Tamandua tetradactyla: one gene and its partner. The protein of the gene in region 2 interacts with the protein of the main gene of each other region in a pairwise test. Links are inferred from orthologs where the notes say so. Each region holds a gene or a part of one and is shown on either strand. Other genes may lie near its edges.

Evidence for each region. The genes of interacting proteins can lie anywhere in the genome.
Region 1: the proteins of C2H1orf216 (region 2) and ODAD1 interact in binary tests that used the Homo sapiens proteins (3 or more experiments, as listed by UniProt). The two-hybrid records come from large-scale screens. The link is inferred for Tamandua tetradactyla from reciprocal best matches to the Homo sapiens genes C1orf216 and ODAD1.

What each region holds. Positions count from the first base shown.
Region 1 is NC_135342.1:12,694,800-12,701,953, forward strand, and holds the start of ODAD1 (outer dynein arm-docking complex subunit 1), read left to right. Parts: upstream 1-2,256; 5' UTR 2,257-2,346; intron 2,347-2,953; 5' UTR 2,954-3,010; intron 3,011-3,296; 5' UTR 3,297-3,319; coding exon 3,320-3,389; intron 3,390-4,481; coding exon 4,482-4,581; intron 4,582-4,693; coding exon 4,694-4,883; intron 4,884-7,154. UniProt on the Homo sapiens protein: Component of the outer dynein arm-docking complex (ODA-DC) that mediates outer dynein arms (ODA) binding onto the doublet microtubule. Involved in mediating assembly of both ODAs and their axonemal docking complex onto ciliary microtubules.
Region 2 is NC_135328.1:189,654,399-189,661,552, reverse strand, and holds the start of C2H1orf216 (UPF0500 protein C1orf216 homolog), read right to left. Parts: upstream 4,246-7,154; 5' UTR 4,086-4,245; intron 4,052-4,085; exon of another isoform or gene 3,945-4,051; intron 1,840-3,944; 5' UTR 1,835-1,839; coding exon 1,154-1,834; 3' UTR 1,126-1,153; intron 540-1,125; 3' UTR 1-539.

The sequences.
Region 1 (7,154 bases), on a different chromosome or scaffold from region 2:
TAATGAACACAGCCAAGACGATTCCTGCTGCTCTTATGGAGTTTACCGTCTAGCACCGGGAGATACACAATAACGGAAAAACAAATCAATGAGCTAAGTAAATTAAGGACAGTGATAAATGCTTTGAAGGAAATACAATGAGTGATGGAGATAATGATGGGGTGGGGTGGCTACTTTAAACAGGGTGGTCAGGGAAAGCTTTGAGGAGATTTGAGCTGAGATCTGAAGATAGGAGTCACTCAAATGCTAAGAGGAGAAGGAAGCAGCTAGTGCAAAAGCTTTTGAGAACAAGCTTGGGTGGTCTGGGGAATAGACAGAAGGCTAGTGTGGCTGTAGCCCAGAGAGGGGGGTGGTGAGAACAGAAAAAAAAGGGGGGGCCCTTGAGGCCTATGAGAGGAGTTTGGATTTTATTCTCAGTGCAGTGGGAAGCCATTGGACTTTTTGATACAAGAGTTTTATGATCTGTAACTGAGAAGTTAGGATTTAAGGGATGATTATGGTTGTTGAATCATTATATAGCTGTATATTGTTTGCTTTTTAGTACATGGGAATAGATAGAGGGAAATACCTGAAATGTTTGAACTGTAATCTAACCGCCTTGATCTCTGATAATGAATGTACAGCCTTTATCTTGATCCGTGTGATTGTAAAAACCTTGTGACTGACCCTCACTTGTATTTTTTTTTTTTTTTGACTTTGGAGTCTTGTGATCACTAAAGACAGCCCCTAATGTTTATTAATGAAGGATCTTGGGTCAGCCCAGAGCTAACCCACCCCAATTCCAAAGTTATCTTGATTACCAAAGCTGGATCTAACCTTAATCGGATGGCCTGACACGCGCAGTATCTTAGATTTTAAGCCATACTTCACCTGTACCTCATGATAACACTAAAAATCATGCCCATCATCATATCAAAGCCACTATTTTCTTACATATGTTCTGTGACAGAGCACATAATCAATCAGTACATGCTCAATAATTATATCACCTCTCGTTACAACAGCCAGAGTCATTGTGCTCATTTTCCTAAAACCTGTTCATCTTTTGATACCATAAAACTATCAGAATTAGCTCAGTTTGGGGAGACAAATTTTGGGCCCATAGGCCATCTGCTCTCCTGTTTTGTGCCTAGCAATAAAGCCTTTCTCTCTTTGAAACCCCTGTGTCTCAGGAATTTGTCACTGAATGCATCAGGCAAGAACCCACTACCCTTGTCTGGTAACAGGCCCAGAAACTTAATGTTAACTATTATTATTTATTATTGGGTTATTGAACTAGGATGGGGGTGATGACTAGGTGCCTGGATCTCCTGGAAGGGTTGGGTGCTGGGGATGTGTCTAGTCTCCTGAAAAGTGAGGGCCAAGGGTTCAAGTGTCTGATGTGGAATTGAGAGCCAGGAAAACTCCAGTCCTGGATCCCTGAAAGGAGCTAGGGGTTGGGGAAAGTTGTTGGTCATCTGGGGTAGTTGAGCTCAGTGACTGAAGACCCAGAAGTGGGGGTATCAGTATAGCACAGACTCTAGAGCCAGACTGGCTGAATTCAAATCTAAGCTGCTTTACTTCTTAAACTCTCTGGGCCTCAGTTCCTCCATTTGTAAAACAGGGATAATAACACTTCCATCCATCATAGCACAGTTCTCAGAACAGTACGTGGCACACAACAGGCACTATATGGGGCCCTGGGTGGATTCAGTATTGGACCCTAGTTCAAGGTCTCTAAGCTTTGGGTAAGGGGCAAATCCTGGAGGAAAGCTAAGACTGGCAGTCCACAGACGGCGGTTTTGAATTTGGATCCTTAGTTAGAAAGTCTAGGTAACTGATGGAGTGCAGGAAAGGGGGCCAGGACCAGTGGAACCTAGGATTAGCAGAACCAGGGACGAGTGAGATGGAAACTTGAAACGGGAGCTGGTTGGAATCAGCGCCAGATTTGGGTACCCGGGGGATGTTGCGGGTCTCCCAAGCCAGAACCCTGCAGAAAGGGGAAAATCAGGAGATTTCAAGGGCGGTGGTGAGATCTCCCCGTCCTGAGGCCTCGAGGCTTCACGCAGTGCTGAGCGTCCAAGGGCCGCTTCCTCCCACAGGAAACCGCAGGCGTCAGGCACACCCAGCCTGCAAGGAGCTACGCCCACTTGGGGATAGCCCCAGGTGGGCAGCTACTGGTCGCAGAGGGGGCGTGACCACAAGGGGGCGTGTCCGGAAGGCGGGGGCGGCTCGAAGTGACGTAGCCCCGCCCATTTCCGTGTCTCAGTGCGCGGACCGCGACGGCAGCCCCGGGTTTTTGGCGGGTTCGCTGGAGGCCGTTGGCCGCGCATGCGTGGCGAGCCGCTGCGAGCGTCTGAGGCGGTGGTGAGAGCTTTTTCCCTTCACCGGTCCCTGCTAGGGGATCTTCTCAAAGCAATGTGGTCTTAATCAACACAGACCCGCACCTCTCAGACCCCGTCCCCGAGGACCTCGTGCTGCCTCCAAGCTAGCGCTTTCCAGACGTTTCCTCCCAGCCATGCCTCCACAGGCTCTTTCAGCTCCCGCCTTTACCCCCCGAAAACACAGCACACCCTACGCATGCCCGCGACACTCCCGAGACCCTCTCAGTCCCGTGCTCCCCACCCATGCCATCTGGACTTCCCACAGTCCCTCCGAGTCTGAGCCCCTGCCCTGACTAGCCCCGCCCCTCACAGGTTCTTCCGGGCCCGCCCCCGCCCCTCGCTGGCCCTCCCCGCCCCGCCCATCAAAGCCCGCCCAGACCCTCCAGCCCCGCCCACCCAAACCTTCTCACCACGCCTCTCGCGTCACCACAGCCCCGCCCCGCCCCACCCGGGACCCCTCCTATCCCGCCCCTCAGCCCCGCCCACCAAGGCCCGCCCCGCCCCTCCCGACCCCGGCCCTCCTCCCGCAGCCTCGCCCCTTGGCTCCGCGGCGGCTGTCCTCTGGCCTCATTGGTCCCTTATCTCCCCAGTAACCAGGCCACAACAGTGAGCTTGGAGCACCTAGGACAAGTCGGGCATCCCCGCAGGTAGGGCGCGGGCTCGGACCCCCACAGCCGGCCGGGGGGTTCCTCCTCCTCGGTGACCTCCTTCCCCATACAGTCCCGCCTCGGAGATGCCGAGTTCAAAGACGAGAGTGCGAGAGGCTGGGGCTGGAGGGGTGGGGGGAGAGGCCCGAGGGATGGCCCAGCCCACCCCCTCGGGGGGATCGAGTCCGAGAGAAGCCCGGGCAGGTTCTGGAGTCGCCGTCTTGCGCCGCCCCCGTCCCGGCTGTCGCCTGCTGCTCTCTGAAGGGGTCTGTGTCGGCCCCTACAGGAGCCGCACCCTCTTCGGCCGAGATGCCCTTGGGACTTTCGGCAGGGACCACCCGCTCCGAAGACGAAACCGAGACCTTATTGGAGGGAATGGGTAATTCCTCCCTCCTTTCTTTAGTCCACTAGTTCTTTTCGCGTCCTGAGCTTTCTCCAAGTTCCAGGTCCTGCGCCGCGGCGAGGAGGAGGCGCCCTGCAGGGTCCCATCCCAGATGGGTGGGCCGAGCCTGGGGGTTGGAGGGAATTAGGCAGACCTCGCAGGAGGGCAGGTTTGAGTGGGGCGCAGGGCTCCTGCCAGGAGTTACCAAGAGGAGCAGGAACGAAAGGGTGTATCAGCAGAGAGAACAGTGACTGCCTGGAGCAGGGTGTCTCAATCCGCATTTGGGTCGAGACATTCTTGGTTGGGAGTGGGGGCTGTCCTGCGCATTGTAGGTTTAGCAGCATCCCCCACCCCAACAATCGCAGCAACTAAAAATATCTTCAGATATCAGCAGATATCCCGTAGGGATGTGTTTGTGTGTGTGCTGGGGACAGGGGTGGGAGGGAGGGGGCAAAATCATTCCAGTTTAAGCACTATTGGGCTAGAGCAAAGTGCTTTGACAGTGGGGAGTTCGGGGGTGAGAGTGGAGAGGTAGGTGGGTGGGGCCCTGAACGCCAGACTGAGGAACTGGGACCTTGTCCTGGTGGGGCCATGGAGAGTGGTGAGCCCAAGGGGCAGGGTCAGCTCTGGGTGTAGAATGAAGCCTCTGGGGCTGTGAGGGGCTGCCAGCAGGTTGAGGCCTGAACGTTGGGGTCAGGCCAGAGAGGGTCAGCAGGCAGGTGGTGCTGAGAGTTGCCAGGTTATGGGGGGCTGCAGAGGAAGGAGGGCACAAGGAGGGTGCAAGGATGGTGCCTGAGAAGCCAGCATCTGTCCTGAGCTTTCCTGAGTTTCTGGTCCCGCAGGGTTGTTGGGGACAGAGAGACCCACCAAGAGCACTCTCTAGTAGGAAAACAGATATATGCGGAACAGATAGAATGGGTTTAGGGGAAAGAACCTGAGGTCAGCTTGGGGTACAGGGAGTATGAAGGGGTGGGGGGAGCTTAAGGGCAGCTTGTGAGACCCTACGTGGACAAGAATGCCTAGGTCTTGGGGAGGAGAGGGTTGGGGACAGAGATTCTCATTGAGTCCGTTGCCTGGACCGGCCCTCAGCTGATTGGGAGTTGAGCAGATTGCAGAGGCAGTGCAAGGTGATGGAAGGTGAAAGGCGGGCCTACAGCAAGGAAGTCCACCAGCGCATCAACAAGCAACTGTGAGCCCATTGCATGGACCCCAGAGGGGGTGGTCGAGGGGGATCTGAGGGAGGAGGGCACGGGTAGTGTGTTGGCCTTTGGTGACGCTGAGCTCTGTCCTCTGGCCGGCAGAGAAGAGATCCGGCACCTGGAGGAAATGCGGGCCAAGCTCCAGCTGCAGATTAGCGTGGCCCAGAGCCAGGTCAAGAAGCTGCGGGACAGTGAGCGGCTGGAGCACATGGGCCGCCTGCTGAAGTGCCGGGCCCAGGCTGAGGAAGAGGTCAGGGAGCTGCAGGAGCAGACCAGAGACCTGGACAGGCAGGTGGGTATGGAGACCAGGCTCCAGGGGATCCTAAGTAGCAGCAAGTGCCTGTTCATACCTCCCTGAGCCTCAGCTTTCTCATCTGAGAAATGGGGCCACGGAAAGCACCCTCCCAGTAGGTTTGTGTCCAGTGGGTCAGAGACAGAAGATGTATGTGATGGCAGAGCAGAGGTCAGGGGATGCAGGGCCAGGAGCCAAGGCATGAGGGCAGCATCTAGAAGCTGGAAGAGGAATGGATGGTTCCCCAGAGCTGCTAGAAGGAATACAGCCCAGCTGACTTCTTGGTTTTAATCCAGCAAACTGATTTTGGATGCCTGGTCTCCAGAACTGTAAAATAATAAATTTGTGTTGTTTTAAGCCACTAAATTGGTGGCCATTTGGTGCAGCAGCCATAGGAACGAACTGGGCAGGGCAGTGGTGCCTCTGTGGAAAGGAAGATGGCAGTGCTGAGAAGGGCCACTCGGAAGGTGCCTGGGATGTCTTGGGGGTGGTGGTTGCAAGGACGTTCACTTTGTGAATTTATAAGTTGTAAATACATGTTCTGTGCACAAGATTTTTAAAAGGAAAAATAAGACGTTAACCGCCATGGACTTAAATGTAACATATACAACCTCTAAAACTTGTAGAAAAAGAGGTAGGAAAAAACCTTTGTGACCTTGGGTTAGGCAAAGATTTCTTAGATAGAGTGCCAAAAACATGATCTATAAAAGCGTGAATTGAAAAGCTGGAATTGTAAAAATTAAAAACTTGTGCTCTTTGAAAGACACTTTTAAGAGAATAAAAAGATAAGCCACAGACTGGGAGAAAATATTTGCAAAATATGTATCTGGTAAAGGTCTTGTGGCAGAATTTATAAAGGACTTTCAAAATGCAATAGGAGGAGAACAATAGAAAACAATAGAAAAAATGGGCACAAATCCTTGAAAAGACACTTCGCCAAGGAGATATATGATGGCAAATAAGCGTGTGAAAAGATGTTCAATGCTATTAGTCACTAGGGAAATGCAAATGAAAACCTTAATGAGATACTTATACATTATTTGCTAGACTGGCTAAAATGAAAAAGATTGACAATACCAAGTGTTAACAGATGTGGAGTAACTGGAACTCGCATACACTACTGGTGGGAGTGTAAAATGTTGAGAAACAGCTTCCCTGTTTCTGAAATGTTAAACCTATACCTAGCACATGATTCAGCCATCCACTCCTAGGTATTTAGCCAAGAGAAAAGAAAACAAATGTCCAAACAATAAATTGTACATGAATGTTCATAACAGCTTTATTTGTAAAATTCAAAACTGGAAGCAACCCAGATATCCATTGGTAGGCGAGTGGGTAAGCAAATTGTGGTGAATGTGTACCAGGGAAGGCTATGCAGCCATGAAAAGGAACAGACCATTGATACAACAAAATGGATGAATTTCACAAATTTTTTCTGAGTGAAAGAAGCCATGTCCCACTCTCCAAAAAGGAGAACAGATTATATGATTCCATTAGTATAAAACTCTAGAAAATGCAAATTATCCTATTGTGACAGGGGGCAGATCGGTGGTTGCCTGGGGAGAGGGTGCTGTAGGAAGGGAGAGGGAGGAGTTACAAAGGAAACGAGTAAACTTTTGGGAGTGACAGATATGTTCACTATCTTGATTATGTCAAAACTTATAAAACTGTATACTTTAAGTATATGCAGTTTATTGAATGCCATTTCTATCTCAATACAAGTGCTTAAAAAAATTCCGATCTCATACCATATGAAAACATAAATTCTAGTTGGATTAGGGAGCTACATACGAAAAGCAAAACGTGAACAGTTTTAAAAATTGAAAGAGGGTATTTTCTAATCTTGGGGTAGGGGAGAATTTCTTGGATGAGTGGCTCCCAAATTTTCTTTGTTCTTGGCACCGTTAGTTTCTTAGAAATGTTTAGGCCAAAATAAATATCCCACAGTCAGAGGTATGCAAGAGCAAACCAGCTCTTAGGGGGAAGAAAGCCTTGATTTATAGCTAGTATATACTTACCTCCACCTTGGCTGTGGTCTACCCTAAGGTTACCCCCCAAATTAGTCACATCTTTGTATACTCCTACTGCGCCACCCCCCTGCCCCTTGAGCCAATGGAACCTGTGACTGACTTCTAATCAACAGAATGCGGCGGAAGTGAGGGTTATGTTGTATAAGACTCCTGATAACTGGAGAGACTGTCGGTCACCTCCTGGCCTGGAAGAAGCACGCTGCCATTGTGTGGAGAGAGCTACAAGGAGGGAGCCAGAGGG
Region 2 (7,154 bases):
GAACATCTTGTCCATTAACTTATAACACATTGTAACACTTGTTACAAACTTATAAACACACATTCCTTTTTATCAGAAGCTTAAATTAATATGGTTTTCAACAGCTCCTTTCTCAGTGGAGAAGTCTAGATTGTTTGGGGCTGATATTTTAGACTTGCCATTCTTCCGTTCTTCACAGAGTTTTGCACTGGCATCTCTCCCAGTCCCATCCTCCATGTATCTACAGGCAGAGTTCAAGACGGACAATCTCCCATCTCCTCCTTTGGCACCCCACCCCCACCTCTGCCATGTTCTCCATCACTACCTCCCATTCCCCTTACTGATATCAATTCTTTGCCAACTGCCCTGACAACATCTCAGCCAAATTACCGTGGTAGGCCGAAGCTGGCATCAAACCTCTTACACAAATCCACCATCAGGAACAACAGCCTTAGCAGAACAAGGTCTGGGATGGGTGAGGAGAAGGAGAATGGATCAGCCACAACCTTCAGATTAAATGACAGCAGGCTAGCCCTCTCTCTTCACGAAAGAGTGGAACCCTGTGAAGAAAAAAAACTGAGGTGGGCCATAGGTAACAGGGTGCAGAAAGATGTCCCACACATGCATTTGAATATATATTTGCCCATACCTGCTCATATGTCTGTCTGCAAATACACATGCTCCTGATACATGCTTTTACATGCCTGCACTTGCATACATGCACCCCTGCACTTAAGACTTGGACATACAAGGGCTCGTTCATGTACACCCAAAACAAGCCTGCACACGCAAACTCACTCATATACCACATTTTGCATATACATCCTTACTTGTAACATATACACACACTGATGGGGACCTGTCCATGCATGTATATACAAACTTACTGTTACATACGTGTTATACATATACATATGTTCACTCTTACATACTCACACATAGGTCTGCAACTAAGTTAGCTTATGCATGTACATGTGCACCCACAGCATACTTAAGTTCATGCACAAGGTGCTTATTCACACATACCTGCACCTACTTGCATATCTACCCAATATGATGGCATATACGCACTCACTCATGCCAGCATATAATCATATACTTACTTGTCACAACCATGCACATATGCCTGCAAATATATACACATACCCTTGCACACCTGCGGGAGTTTACACCCTTAGCCCTGGTCTTGGGGGCGGGTTGGTGCTGCCCCCTGCTGGAAACAACGGATAAGTTCTTTTCGGTTGACAAGGATAGTATCAAAGCTCTCCTGCAGACGGGCCTGCTGGTCAACCAGTTGATGCTGCAGGCTCCGGATCCATTGGAGCAAGGCCAGGCGACGGTACATCACCAAATGCACATGGTGCTTTTCCTTCTCCTGCTCTTTGTAGCGCTCCTGGGCCTGAAGCTGCTGCACTGCATGGGCCACTGAAGGCAGAAGAGGATCTGGAGGGCCAGGGCCTCGAGGAGTCCCACAGACTGGCTCAGGGCTGCTGCTAGGGCTGTCAATGCTCAAGGAGCTGCTGGCATAGCCGTTGTCCTCCAGTGGGGAACAGACTGTGCTGCCACCAACTATCTTCTCAAGCTCAGCCCTGGGGATCTCTGCCCCTTCTGGAGGACTACGGATCTCCTCCTCGAGGTCCTGGAAGGCCTTGTTGTCAGAGGGTGACTCAGGGGAACTCCCCATCAGGATGGGTTCCACTTTGCCTGGCATCCCATGCCAGTTTTCATTGGCATCTCTGACATTTGCCACGAAGTTGGAGTTGCTGTCTGGTTGGAAGTCAGGCTGACATACCCCAGGAGGTGGGCCCCCCAGGAGCTGGCCCCCCTCAGCTAGCCCTGGTTGAATGGCAAACATCTGGTCTGTAAGGGGGAAGCAGAGGAATGAGTCACAGCAAGACGGGGTGGGATGACTGAAGTCATGCTACTGCAGCTGCCAAGACAAAGTGGCAAACATGAGGCTGGCTGCTCTTAGTCCCTCTCCTTTGACCCTGATAATAGCCCCACTTCATGGTTTTTCTCCTCCCTCTCTGAATCTTCCTTCTCAGTCTCCAGTACAGGGTTCTTCTCTGCCCATCCTTTAAATGGGCAGCCTTTTAAAGCAGGTTTTCCTCAGCCTTCCAAAGCAGGTTTTCTTCTCTTCTAACTGCATTCTCCCCAGATGACCTCATCCTCTGCTGTAGCTTCAAACCATCCATATGTCTCCAGTCCAGTTACAGCTGCTATCTAACTGTCAAAGACACCCCTTAACCTAGAATTTGGCTCTCCAAATTCTACTCATCCAAACCAGCCCTCTTTTCAGTGTCCTCAGCAAAATGGCTCCACTACCCATTCAGTCACCCCAGTCAGAATCCTGGAGCAACCTGGACCCCTCACTCTCCGTCCTGCCCCCATTGAATTGGCCACACAATTCTCATGATTCTTCCTCTTTAAAAACCTTCGTGTGTGTGTGTGTGTGTGTGTGTGTGTGTGTGTGTGTGAGTATGTGTATGTATCTCCTCACAATTTCATTTGGTTCAGGCCATTTCTTCCTAGGATTACTGACACAGACTTTTCACTGATCTCTCTGCCTCCAGTTAAACATATAAATTTGAATGATCACTGCAGCTGCGCCCTCACTAAACTCTTGCTAAACCTCTCTACATGGCCAAGAAGACCCTGCTTGATCCACCTTCTGCTCACCTCTCCAGACATGCCTCTTGCCACTCTGGCCCTCCCCCAACAAACTACCCAGAGATTTCAGAACACACCATATTTTTTTCAAGCAATTTGCTTGGCCTACAATGCCCATATTCTCCTCTTCCCTCTAAGCTTTCTCCTTCTCCACCCAGCACATTCCTTCACCTACTTCAAAACTCAATTCCAATTATCTTCACCTCTCTGAAGACTCCCCTGATACCACCCTCCCACTCATCCACCCCCACAGTTAATTATGCCTTCTTCTGGGTTCCCACTGCCCTGGGTACACACTGTACTATCCATGTTTGCTTCCTGTTGCTGGCACATAGTTGAAAATCAATAAATGTTTATGTAACTGTTTTTTCAACTATCTTGTAATGGTACCTTGTAAATCTGGATCCCCAAGGAGCTGCTTGCTCCTTGATGTTCTCCATCACATCCCCAGGACCCAGCACAGAGTCTAGCACTTAGCAAATTGGTCAATCCATGCTTGCTGAGTGAATGAATAGGGGAGCAGGGACTCCCCTGGGAGTTCCCTGCCCAGGATGATGGTGGCAGGAGTCTACTGCTGACTACCCAGGACTAGAAGAGCTGGCTTCAGTTCCCACCTCTGCTCCAGGGTGCCCCCCCCAATCCCCCCATTGACAAACTTCTCCTCTGAGCTCACCCACTTCCCTTCCAGTTCCCCTGGAACATGACTACATCTTGTGTCCCTGCCTCTGGTTTGCTCTATCCACAGGCCCTGGAGAGTGGCCATGCCACATCACTTTTCCTTTTCCAATAACTGATTTTTACCCAAATTAGGGTTTGAATTGACAAGCGATTTCTTCTGATCACTTACTACTGGGATTAGAGAGACTGACGATTATCACTAAGAGTGCGGGATACTATATGCACAACAGGTACTAGAGGTGGACAGGGTCCCTCCCCACATCCAGTAGCCAGGACAAGTCCTGAGTAATGATCCCTTTGTAACCTGCATCCCCTCCTCACCATCCCCCACCCCCACCCACCACATATACATCCCTTTACGAAAGGCTCGCTGGAAGGTGCCTGGAAATCTTTCCTTGTGCAAAATTTTTATTTTTCCTAGGTTTGGGCCATAAAGCAGGCTAGGATGAGTGAGGGTGGCGCTAAGGATCACGTTTTATCAGAGATGGCAAAATTGGAGCCCAGATACCCCAGGATCAGGCCTCTCCCTGAACTAATCCGCAATCTGCCCGGGATGGGGGTGGGGACTCTGTAAGGATGGGGGCGCCCAGGGGGCCTCCCTTCCTGCTTGGCCTTACCAGAGAGGGACACTCCCGCCAACACACAGGATAGAGACCACCGTTCCCTAACCTCTACAGAAGAGGCAGCTGGGCGGAGGCTTCAACTCCCCCTCTCCCGCGGCTGGGCCGCAATCCCTCCCCCTCTGGGCCCCAACTCACAGCCGAGAGGAGCCCGCCCCGGCGCGGCGGGTTCTGGTTCCACCCCGGCCACCTACGGGAACCCACTCGGGCCGAGGGGTGGGGGTGTCTTTCGGCCTGGGCGTCCACGTGGGCTAGGGCGAGGGGCGCGGGGCGCGAGTTGCGGGGCGGCGCGGCCAGCCCCAGGCCCAGACTGCGGAGTGGGGCGGCGTCAGCGCGGCGGGGCGGGGCGGCCGGGTCCACGTGGGCCGGTTCGGCTTTCCGCTGAGCGGCGCCTCTGCGCAGTGGGCCGGAACCGCAGCCCCCCACCCTTCGGCTGTCTTTCCCCGACCGCCCAGGTCTGGTTTATCTCCTAAGGGCTTTCACTGCACCGCTTCGCCTCACTGCGGACACAGTGATATTTTCAAAATGAAAGTCTGATCCTGTCACCACCCCTGCGGTTTGGAACAGTTCAGTGGCTTCGCGCTGCAGGGAAAATCCTTAAGGCAACAGCCTCAGGGCCCTCGGCGCGTTCTGCGGGCTACCTACCTCTCCAGTTACGTTTTAAGAGGAGAGAGGAAAAATCCACCTTGGGAAAGGGCTGGGGATAAGGTCCGGCCCCCGAAGTGGGGTGTCAGGCTAGGAGACAAGGGAAGATGAGAGGAATTTCCACTCCAGGAAATAGGATAGGCATATAAGGGTTCTTCATTACGAAGAAAGAGGTGGGTAGGATCGAAGCGTTTTCACCTCAAAGGTCATGCCACTTCCCACCCACGCATTCGCATTCAGCCCACGGTTTAGAGAGCTTACTTTGTGCCAGTTATTGCCACGGTAATTTAGAGCAGAATCAGACCTGGTTGTGGCCTTGGGGAGCTTTCAGCTTGGAAAGGGTTACAGACTCAGAAAAGTGGGGTGTGCGATGTGATGGGTCCTGCCACCGAGCTAGGAGGCAAATGCAATGAGTGCAAAGGAGGGTAAAGAAAGGCTTCACACAGAGGTGTTATTTGAGGCAGGCCTGGAAGAATGAGTCTGCTCACTACAGAAAGGGGAGAAGGTGAGAGGATGCATATTTAGTGTATTTAGGGAACAGGAGGCTGGTGTGGGGAAAATGGAGGTAGGAAACAACGCTGAAGGGTAAACTGGACCAGTTGTGCAGGGAATTTGGGTTTCATCCTGTGGGCTGCAGGAAGATAACTGAGGATGTACTCAAAGTGCCACATCAGAACCAAGTCCTGGAGTACAAGCTACATTGCTAACTGGTTTCTTCTCTTTTCCCGAGCTCATATTATCTGTTAGCTTTCTCACATGGTTTTGGGAACTTAGGCAAGTCATTTTAACCCTTTAGGATTAAATAAAAAAGAATATGCCCAGAAATGGTTAAATACTTACAGTTGTACTTGTTGTTTCTCAGGCTCCCCAAGATCAGACACAGCCCAGGGGTCCCTTTGATATGCAAGAGAACCCTTAAGGCAGATTAGAAGGAAAGTCATTTGGCTTGCTCATCTCAGGAAAAAAAGGCCTAGGAAGCTGGTGACCTAGTTGTTTCTTTCCTCCATTTCCCCACTGCCTCTTAAAGGTCAAGTGCACTTAGTCCACCTAGGAATGACAGTGTGATCACATCCATTCCCCCACACCCGATATGGCTGGGTTTTTTTTTCTCAGTTGCTAAATGAGGAGGAGGTACCTCAAAACAGAGGGTTTTTTTTTCTTTTTTTCTTCTTATATGTATTTTTTATTTTATTTTTTTAAAGACCAAAAAAACACCAAATGCAAACATTCCTATTTTGATCATTCCATTCTACATACATAATCAGTAATTCACAATATCATCACATAGTTGCATATTCATCATCATGATCATTTCTTGGAACATTTACATCTATTCAGAAAAAGAAATAAAACGAAAACAGAAAAAATATTTATACATACCATACCCTTACCCCTCCCTTTCATTGATCACTAGCATTTCAAAGTAAATTTATTTTAACATTTGTTCCCCCTATTATTTATTTTTATTCCATATGTTCTACTCATCTGTTGACAAGGTAGATAAAAGGAGCATCAGACACAAGGTTTTCACAATCACACAGTCACATTGTGAAAGCTATATCATTATACAATCATCATCAAGAAACATGGCTACTGGAACACAGCTCTACATTTTCGGGCAGTTCCCTCCGGCCTCTCCGTTACATCTTGACTAACAAGGTGATATCTACTTAAAGCGTACAAATAACCTCCAGGATAACCTCTCCACTCTGTTTGGACTCTCTCAGCCATTGACATTTTGTCTCATTTCACTCTTCCCCCTTTTGGTCTAGAAGGTCTTCTCAAGCCCTTGATGCTGAGTCTCAGCTCATTCTAGGATTTCTGTCCCACATCGCCAGGAAGGGCCACACCTTTGTTTTAAAACTTTCTTCTTTTGAAGGCTTGGAATCTTTCCCCTCCCCACCCACCCAAGGAAAATCATTGCAATACACCCAATTTGAGATTTCCTCTCTTCCCCTGAACCTCTCCATCCTAAATGGCTGCTGAGGGGCCTCTGAGGAAGCTTTTAAAGCTCCTCAGAGCTTTAAAAATGGCAATTTCAAATACATTGCATTAGATGAACCTAGGAGATAAATTCTCCCCTCCTAAGGGATAAAGGAGAAACAGGGTGTTTGGATTTGCTGGAAGAATGAGAGTGTAGACTTTCTCCCACAGCAAAACATGGTAAATGCCCTCTTGACCCACTCTTCCAAGGCCCTGAGGTAGATGGCATTCCAGAGCCTATAACAGAGGGAGAGGGCTGGGTGGAGGAGCTGAACGAAAGGAGAAATGAGAGAAGGGGATGCCTGTTCCACCCCCTTCCTAGCAGCTGCCTCCATGGGCTCCATAATCCTCATGCCCTCCGGCCGCCCACCTCTCCTCCACCCACCCCATTCATCATCAGTAGGAGGGCACAGCATCAGGACAGTCTTTCAGGGCTTGACAGGTCCTTTCTGGGTGCCCCCCACATGTAACCACTTAACCCTCAACACAAAGGGCCAGGCTGAATGGGCTTGGAGCCGGTGGCTCGTGCGGAGGGGGAGGCCCCAATAGGATTTGGGGAGCTGGGTGTATAAACAGCTC